Caenorhabditis elegans: one gene and its partner. The protein of the gene in region 2 interacts with the protein of the main gene of each other region in a pairwise test. Each region holds a gene or a part of one and is shown on either strand. Other genes may lie near its edges.

Region 1 (3,163 bases), 560 kb from region 2:
CGGCAATTTCCAGAACAGTAAAAATAACAAAGCAGTAAATTAGCCCAAAATTGCGTTCGACCTTCAAATTCCCCAATATTGTACAGTAGTTGAAGTAATCGTGGTGAGACCTGTGTGAATAATACCATGTGCCTTTAAATATTTTTAAAAAATGAAGGAAGTCTCCGCTCGGTTTTATTCGGGAATTATTAAAATCAGAACAGCTCTGAGGATGAACAAATATTATAAAATAGAAGTGGTAAATGAACAACAGTAAACGGTATAAAAACACAATTTTAATCCTTTGGAGATCCTGGAGACGGAGAGCGAGACACACTGCGATTGCTGCCATCTCGGCTGTGACTTCTTCCACGGCTCACGCTGCGCTTTCTATCTCCGCCGTTCTGAAACCATATGATTTTTACTATACAAGCACATAAATGAATTACCTTTGGGGGAGATCCACTTCGGGTTCTGCTTCGATCTTTTGCTGGCAGTGGTGAACGAGATCTCGACGCTTCACGCTTCCTAAAATATAATTCTTGCATTTAATAGAGTCGGAATCTAAAGGACTCGAATACGAAACCGATATGTTTGCGCGAAGTTGTCTGATTCAAAGTTAGGGATCTCACTCTTTTAATCGAAACAGCGGCTTTTGGTAACTGTGGGGACTGAACGAGAAGTGAATTGAAATGTATTGATAGTTGACCCATACTGTGCTCGAACTGTCTCAGCTATGTGTATGCCATTGCGATGTGGGCTTGTAGGTGATATTGATTTCTCATTGAACTGTGGCTAAAACGGTTCGTGATGTGGCACCCTTCCAAAACAATCCACACATTAAAGTTAACTTACAAGTCTCTTTTCGGGCTCGGCGAACGGGATTCGCTTCTGCGACGACTTTCACGAACTGGTGATCTGGATCTGGAGGAGCTTCTGGAACGGGATCTGCGAGAACGTTTGCGATCACGAGAGCGGGAACGTCTTCTTGGTGGAGTACGTGAACGACGTCTAGGAGAGCGGGAACGTCGTCGTGGTGATCTCGATCCATGACGGTCATTGCCGCGTGGTTTTCCGCGAGCCATTTCCACGACAAGGCGCATAGAGCTGAAAATAAAAAGTTAGAACATTTTTAATTTTGGTTTATTATTTTATTACCTTCCTTCCATGGTTTTTCCATCCAAATCATGGCATGCGTCTTCAGCATCACGAGAATCTTCAAAATCGACAAAGGCAAATCCATACTTCATTGAGATGTTATTAATTTTGCCATATCCTTTTAAGAATCGCTCAACGTCGCGTTCGCGTGCATTGTATGGAATTTTTCCTAGATAGAGGCGCGGCATTTCTGGAAAATCACTTTATATTCAAAAATTAATTTATTAAACGCCGTTCATTAAGCCCAGTAAAAAAAACACATGAATTCGAGAAATCAATCTCAATTTTAAGAAGAGAAAGTCCTAAGTCAAGAAAAAGAAATTCTATCAAAAGCGCACACATGAAAACGAGTGCGACCGTACTCCTAGTCGTTGCGAGACCACTTGGCATGCCGCCAAGTCTTTTGCATTTTCGAATGTGCTCAAAATGACTGGATTCCAGTCACTGGAAATCTGTTTTGAAACATTTTTCCTTGATGCAGATGTTTTTATTTGTCATAACCTCTTTCTTATCAGTTAAAAGTTATTTTTATCGTCGTATTTTCTATTGAATTCCATCGTTTCCTTTTATTCTTCTATAATTGTATGTATTTCAGGTAGAAAAATGAAGTTGGTCAGATTCCTGATGAAGTTGTCTCACGAGACCGTCAATATTGAATTGAAGAACGGTACTCAGGTGTCCGGTGAGTATTTTTTAAGATTAATTGTCTGCTTGAAAGTGTTTTAATCGAGAAGTTGAGTTATTAACCAACCAAAATCAATCTTTCACGAATTGCTCGACATTTGTTATAGTGTTTTTATATTAGGATACATTTTCAAAGTCATAAATCCGAATAATATTGTATAATTTTAATTACTGCAAAAACGTAACTAAACAACTAAATCGATTTTATTTAGGCACTATCATGGGAGTCGATGTTGCGATGAACACACATCTTCGTGCCGTCTCAATGACAGTTAAGAACAAGGAGCCAGTCAAACTCGACACGCTTTCAATCAGAGGTTATTAAAAATCATATTTGAATAAATATAATTTAAGATTTTCAGGTAACAACATCAGATACATCATTTTGCCGGATCCACTCGCTCTTGACACCCTTTTAATCGACGATGAACCAAGAAAGAAGGCCCGTGCCGCTCGCGCCGGAGGTAGCTTTAAGCGTCTTTTCGACAGATTATTAATATTTTTATTTCAGCTTCACGTGGACGTGGTCGTGGTGGAATGCGCGGAGGAAGAGGAGGTCGTGGTCGCGGACGCGGAGGACCACGCGGAGGCGGTCCACGTCGTTAAGCTATCATCGGGTCATAGCAAATTTGAGTATCGAACGTCCTATACTTTTGTATCACGTTCCTCAAGTTTAATTCACATTTTGTTCCCGTTAAAGTTGCTGACTTTTGTTTAAATCTTTTGAAATAATTTATTACGGCTTTCCGAGTCAACACAAATTTCCCAAGTTTCGCAGCCCGTGAGAACAACTGTACTTTATTTTGTTGTTACGTTCTGATCTCTATAAATTTCTTCAATTCAAGCATTAAGAGCAACAACATAAGGGCAAAAATTATTTATATTTAAAACAAAAAATTCGAATAAAAACAAGAAAATTGCATTATGCACTTTGCGGAACCGGCAACAAAATTGTATCCGAGTCCTGCGGTCCAGTAGCTTCAAAAACAATAGAACTATCCGTAGAAGGTAAAACTGCATCCAATCGATGTCGCTCCTCATCTGGAAAAAAATATGTAATTGAGTTAAAATTTACGATGGACCAACCTTCAGAGTTTCTGGGAGTACGGGGTGGTCGAGGAAGCAGAAGAGGTTGTGTTTCAGATTCAGTTGAATTGTTTGAGAACAAATCTGTCCAGAAGGTACACTGAAAGCAGAAAAAATGCGAAAGTTCCCAAACACTCATAATAATATTACAGTGTAAACAGCCAAGAATATTCCAATGAAAATTCCGACAAGAACATCGCTCCAATGATGCTTATTATCAGTGATTCTGGAGAAGCTAATTCCAAGTCCAATCATA
Region 2 (6,345 bases):
CAGAGTGTCATAAATGTGCTTGCAAGTATTTGAGCACTACTGTCAAGGGCACCTCCCATGTAAATTTGTTGAAGAAGAGCATGACCGGCTTCAATTCCAATGTCTTCTGGAAGAATTGGAACTCCTGATTCGCCCTTCGGTCTTGAAATAGCTTCTGCTTGGTAGATAACACCCTCTGTCGTTTCGGCGGTTAAGAACAGACCATATCCTGGAGAAGCGCCACCAGCATCACCTTTCCGTTGATCAACAGTAATATAAACATCCGAAATGTACCCATGCATTGCTTTCTTTGCAGCGTCAATCATTCGATAAGCTAGTGAAGGTGTAACTTTAGTAACATATGCTTGACCTCGAATTTTACAAACTTTTCCGACTTGTTGTCTCTTAAATTAACATTTTGTTTGGGAAGAAACGAATAAAGTAAACTCACTTTTACTGGCCGAAGAGTTTTAACAATTGGAGCGGTAAACACGACAACACCGCCTCCTTCTGGTTTCAATCCTCGAGCTTGAATTTTGATATCAAGTTTCTCATCATTGAGCACAAATTTGTTGTAAACTTTCAACCAAGAAGCTTTCATACCATCGACTGAGATTTCACCAGGTGCGTTTGTAACTCCTTTCAATTTGATTACCATTGGAACTTTGCAGAAGGGAGAAAGCAATAGAAGAGGCTCCAAAAAGTAAGAAATGCATCTTTCGGTACCACAATCCAAATTAACAACACCGCCAGTAATCATTCCCGGTCGGAAAATGACTTGAGTACCTGTTCGACTGATTTCAACTTTAGTACCGTTCGTCACTTTCTCAAGTAGACCGATCAGTTTTGATTCGAAATCTGTAATAATATTTTATGTGATACAAGTTGATAATGAGTAGACCGACCTCTGATTCCTGGTCTATCATCATTTTTTCTGATGTTTATTATTCTGATGGGTCTTCCGCTGAGAATTGAGTACGCTAGTCTGATTCGGAAGAAATTGCATCCACTGAATTCTAGAGTTTCACTGGACATTACCTGAAAAATGTGTCCATCAGTCAAGACGAAAATTGAAGAAAAACAAGCGATTGAAAAATAACAGCATATAAATATTAAATTTATTTGAATTAAAATTCTCCAATTTGAGGATTGAGCTCAAATAGAAACTAAAAATGCTAGAGAGCAGTTTTCATTGGGAGCATATATTATCTGCAAATCAGCAAAAAATAAAGAAAACGTTTACTCGTTTTGTGTCTTAATAAATCAGTTAATTAAAAAGACTTTTTTTAAATCCTTTTAATTTTTTGTATTCATCTGCAACTGCAAAAAAAATTCCGCGAAAAAAAATAATGCAAACGCGCTCCATTGTGAGAATTCAGAGCGCGACGCGGTGTGCGACGCGGTCCTTTGCAACATATTTCGGAGCTTTTTACAACTATTTTATTTGTTTTCAGTTTACAAAGTATTATTAGGGTAAATGGGAATGACTAAATATATAAGCCAAGCAATTAACACTCTGTTATATACATAGCTGATCTTTATAGAGCTCAACTAGATATAGTTTTGAAACTTTTCGTAATTCCATTATGCTAGACTACTGTTTTTGGATTTTACTTTATGAACTGCTCTTTTTTACAGATGAGCCACGAAAATCAGGAGAACTACGATGATTATAACGGAGACCACGACAATAAATATGACCAGCAGTACGACGAATCAAGCCGAGGCGATGATTTTGGGTATGTTTTTTTTTGGTATTCTTAATTTTACGAAAACCGTAAAAATATTATTTTTCAGTGGATATGGTCGAGGAGGGTCGTCAAGGTATTATAAAATTAAATTTACATGCTCAATCTAAATAAATTATCAGTACATTTTTTCAGCGGCAGAGGTAGAGGATTTAATGGACCGCCAGGCGGTGCTGGAAGTTTTTTCGGTGTTCCCCCAGCTGCACGTGGTCGAGGTGGACCAGGGATGGCTCCTCCAGGATTCGCAGGTAGAGGTCGTGGATTTGCTACACCAGGTATGAGCAGTGGTTTTGCTCCGCGCGGTCGCGGTATGCCGCCAGGTCGTGGTGGATACATGCCTCCATACAGAGGAGGTTATGGTGTTGCACCAAATGGAGGTCCAGGAGCGTACGGAGGGCCTTATAACGGAGGTCCTGGAGCATATGGTGCTCAAGCACCAGGGCCGAATCCACAAGATCAGGAGCAACGTCTGAAGAGAGTGAGTAAATGTTCAATTGTTGAAATAGTCTAGAAACGTATACCGTATTTCTTCTATTAATATGGCTGCAATACTATTTTTCGATGGTCTTCCCGCTTGCAATACCAATAGGGAGTGCAAGACTATTAGGGAGTGCAATACTAATTTTCAGGGCCTTTTTCTGACTTTGAGCTTACTACTTTTGTTCTGAAAAAACTCGAATCTTATGTAAAAATTCAGAAAATTTGATTGAAATTGCAACAAAAAAGTTCAAAAACTTCAATCTTATAAAAATTTTCACGAAAATTGTTGAAAACGACGCAGAAAATGTTGTTAAAATCTCAAATTTAGTGAGGCGGGTTTGCACCGAAAAAAAGTAGACGCAAGACTATTAGGGAGTGCAACACTAAAAGTGAGTGCAATACTAATTTTCGGAGGGTGTTCATGGTGCAATACCAATAGGGAGTGCAAGTCTAATAGGGAGGCCATACTAATAGAAGAAATACGGTATTTCAGCTTTCGGGATGTGAAGAAGGACAAGAGTTATGGGTTGAAACTGAGACAGCTGAAGGAAAAAAGTATTTTTATCATCCAGTTAACAGGAACACAATTTGGGAGCGACCACAAAACGCTAAAATAGTCACTCAACCAGAATTGGCTCAACTCATTCATAGAGCCACGGAAGAGGAAAAGAATCGTGAAGGTATGCAATTGCATTCAACTTTTAGCATTTGATGTTTTTGATTCCATCTTTTTGCACATTTATAATTAATTTTCAGAAGGTTAAGTTTAAACCTGGCACAGAAATTTCAGATTCTTAGGTTCATCTCTCCATAAGATTATGTCGCTCTTCTAGTCGTTCCTCTTCATTGCTGTCAAAGCTGAAACGCGTTTGTTAGAAAAGTTTGATAATAAGTTTGGAAAAAAGAAACATAAAAATCAGTGGTAATAATCAAAAAGTCCGTATTGTATCACAGCCACAGGAAAAAATTGCGGAACAACTACCGATTTACGAGCTGCGAGAAGGACATTCTATGCCGTGCGAGCATCATGCCATCCACTAATGTGTAATGTCCACTTTTCTAAGTTTTCCATCAAGTCATAATAGAAAATCATCATTATCTCTTGACTATGAGATTCGGGATCCACGTAGGGGCGGTCTCTGAATATAAATTAGATTTTATTTTTCATATTTATGCCTAACATATGATTTTTTTTCAGAGCGAATGCCACATGGTCAAATCCCACAAAATCCTGATGATGCCTGGAATGAGTTTAATGCCCCGGATGGCCGGAAATACTACTTCAATTCGATAACACAAGAGAATACTTGGGAAAAACCAAAAGCTCTCATCGATCAAGAGAATGGAGGGGGAGCGTCTCCCGAACCTGTACAGTCGGCTGCTATCGCTGAAGCTCAAGCCAAAGCACAAGCGGCGCTGGCAGCTTTTATGGCTCAACAGAAAACTTCTTCCAATGGCGGAGGTGGAATGCCATTGTCTAAAGCACAAGCTTCAGGTGCAGCTGCTGCAGCTGCGGTAAACGCCGAAGCTGCTAAAAAGAAAGATTCGACTCGTCCCATTAGCAGCACTCCAGTCAGTGGAACTCCATGGTGTGTTGTTTGGACCGGTGATGACAAGGTATTCTTCTACAATCCTTCTACGAAGTGCTCTGTTTGGGAACGTCCACCAGATACATATGGACGCGAAGACGTTGACAAACTAGTTCAGAATCCTCCATCTCCAAAAGCAGAAGAAGAAAATAATCAGTCTAAAAAAGAAAGCGAGTCAGAATCTGAGTCTGATGAGGATGGTCCTCCAAAAGCTAAGAAAAGTCGAGCTGAAAAGAAGAAGGAAGCTTTGATTGCTGCTCAAAAGAAGGAGAAGGAACGTCCTCGCCAAATGCTTCAGAAACCAGTTGATCCTGCAATTGAGGCTGAGATGCAAGCTGCAAAGGAAAGAGAGAAAGTTCCATTGGAGGAGAGACTGAAACAGTTCAAGGAAATGCTCGAAGAAAAAAATGTTTCCACATCAAGCACGTTCGAGAAGGAACTTTCAAAAATTGTTTTCGACAAACGTTACCTGTCTCTTGGGGCTACTGAGCGTAGAGCTTGCTTCGATGCTTTTTGCCGGGAAAAAATTGAATCTGAGAAAGCTGAGAGAAGAAAACGGGTCAAAGAAGCAAAGGAAGAATTTCAAAAGTTACTTGCTGAGTGCGAACTCAATGGACGGTCATCGTATTCTTCATTCACTTCAAAGTTCGGAAAAGACCCTCGTTACAAAGCAGTTGAAAGAAATCGTGATAGAGAAGATGCTTTCAACGATTTTGTCGGCGAATTGCATAAGAAGGAAAAAGACGAGAAACGTGCTAAGAAAGAAAAACTGAAAGCAGCTTTTGTGAAACTTTTGGAAGAGCAGACTGGTCTCACGCGCAAATCTAAATGGTCAACCACGAAGAAAACACTTGAAGATGAAGAAAGATACATTGCTCTCGATAGTAGTTCTACCAGAGAATCTCTGTTCCGAGAATTTGTGGCGAATCTTGGAGATGAAACAGCATCGGTGAATTTATTGTCTTATTGTTTTTTTTTTTCAATTTTAAAATATCATTTTCAGGATATCGAAGAAGAGCAGGAACGTGAGAAGCGTCTTGCTGCTCAAACGGCCATTGCAAACCGTCAGAAAGAAGTTGAAGCCGAACTTGGTAATCAACTGCGAGAGCGCACAAAAGAAAGTGAGAAACAAAAGATGGGCGAACACGAGGATACCTACCGAAATCTTCTAATCGATCTGATAAAATCTACCGAAAACAGTTGGCACGAGGCTCGACGCATTCTTCGAAAAGATGAACGCTATGCAAATTGTGATATGTTGGATAAAACTCGCAAAGAGTCGCTCTTTGATGATCATATCAAAAGTTTGGAAAGAAAGCGTCGTGAGGCTTTCTTCCAAGTTCTAGATAATCATGAGAAGATCACACCAATGATGCGCTGGAGAGACGCTAAAAAAATCATTCAAGACGAGGAAGAGACTTTCGTAAAAATTGCTAGCAACTCGGAGAGGGTTTGTGATTTATTTTTAATTAAAATACTTTAACTTTATTATTTTCAGAAAGTTGAGAGAGATTTCCGAGATTGGCAGGAGAGACGGCACGATCACCTTACTGATGAATTCAAGGAGATGCTTTCTGAGACAAAAATCATCACGCATAAGTCGAAAAAATTGATGGAAGAAGGTGAACAGCACATGGATATTTTGTCAGTTCTCGAAAACGATAAGAGATGGGTGCGGATGACTGCTATGAGTGCATCAGAACGGGATCGTATGCTAGAAGATCATATTGGTAAGATAAATGCTCATAAATTGATACAGTTGATTTACATATTAATATTTCCAGAAAACTTGGGCCGCAAAGGAACACCGCCTCCACCAACACAACAAGAGCGGGATCGCAGAAAGCAATAAACACTTGATTAAGTATTTAAATTAGTTGTTGATATTCCATCTTTAATCAGATCCAATCTTCTCATTCAATCTCATCACTTTCCCGTTCTCCATCTATTTTTGTACCTGTATCCACAGTATTTTTAGCCACTTATTGTTTGTGCCTCTCATTGATTCTAAAAAGAATTACCGTATTTCTTCTATTAATATGGCTGCAATACTATTTTTCGATGGTCTTCCCGCTTGCAATACTATTAGGGAGTGCAAGTCTAATAGGGAGTGCCATACTATTTTTCAGAACATTTTTCTGTGTTGGGGCTTACTAGATTCTACTTGAAAAAACTCCAATTTTATTTGGAAGTATAGAAAATTTGATTGAAATTGCAACAAAAAGGTTTTTTTTTAACTTTTCATAATACTGGTATTTCTCTGAGAATATTTCTATGCTTGTGCATGAAAATTTAGTGATATCTTGATGGGCATACTTTGTAAAAACATGTTGAATCAAACACTTTCAGAAGTGCTATTGATTTCAGGTCCAACGATAAATTTGAGTACGGGTAGCACATGAAAACGAAATTTCCAAAAAACGCTTATTTCTCGGGAAATAGTTCAATTCTACCAAATTTTTCTTTGCAAATCTACTAATTTCTTACAATATAAAAACATTAAAAAGGTTTTCTGAATTGATAAAATTTTTAAACATTTTTGAGTACGG

The links. The genes of interacting proteins can lie anywhere in the genome.
Region 1: the proteins of tcer-1 (region 2) and snr-3 interact in a two-hybrid assay, tested with the Caenorhabditis elegans proteins (one study listed by BioGRID).

The regions. Positions count from the first base shown.
Region 1 is NC_003280.10:6,488,331-6,491,493, reverse strand, and holds snr-3 (putative small nuclear ribonucleoprotein Sm D1), read left to right. Parts: upstream 1-1,732; 5' UTR 1,733-1,740; coding exon 1,741-1,819; intron 1,820-2,033; coding exon 2,034-2,138; intron 2,139-2,183; coding exon 2,184-2,285; intron 2,286-2,332; coding exon 2,333-2,427; 3' UTR 2,428-2,663; downstream 2,664-3,163. Other genes in the region: rsp-5 (putative splicing factor, arginine/serine-rich 5), read right to left, coding at 276-383, 429-507, 835-1,086, 1,138-1,325; plpp-1.2 (Phosphatidic acid phosphatase type 2/haloperoxidase domain-containing protein), read right to left, coding at 2,744-2,862, 2,908-3,007, 3,058-3,163. UniProt on the Caenorhabditis elegans protein: Plays a role in pre-mRNA splicing as a core component of the spliceosomal U1, U2, U4 and U5 small nuclear ribonucleoproteins (snRNPs), the building blocks of the spliceosome.
Region 2 is NC_003280.10:7,045,344-7,051,688, reverse strand, and holds tcer-1 (WW domain-containing protein), read left to right. Parts: upstream 1-1,617; coding exon 1,618-1,718; intron 1,719-1,776; coding exon 1,777-1,803; intron 1,804-1,862; coding exon 1,863-2,205; intron 2,206-2,700; coding exon 2,701-2,887; coding exon of another isoform or gene 2,888-2,919; exon of another isoform or gene 2,920-3,251; intron 3,252-3,405; coding exon 3,406-4,745; intron 4,746-4,799; coding exon 4,800-5,246; intron 5,247-5,294; coding exon 5,295-5,526; intron 5,527-5,580; coding exon 5,581-5,648; 3' UTR 5,649-5,816; downstream 5,817-6,345. Other genes in the region: ZK1127.5 (putative RNA 3'-terminal phosphate cyclase-like protein), read right to left, coding at 1-383, 431-837, 885-1,014.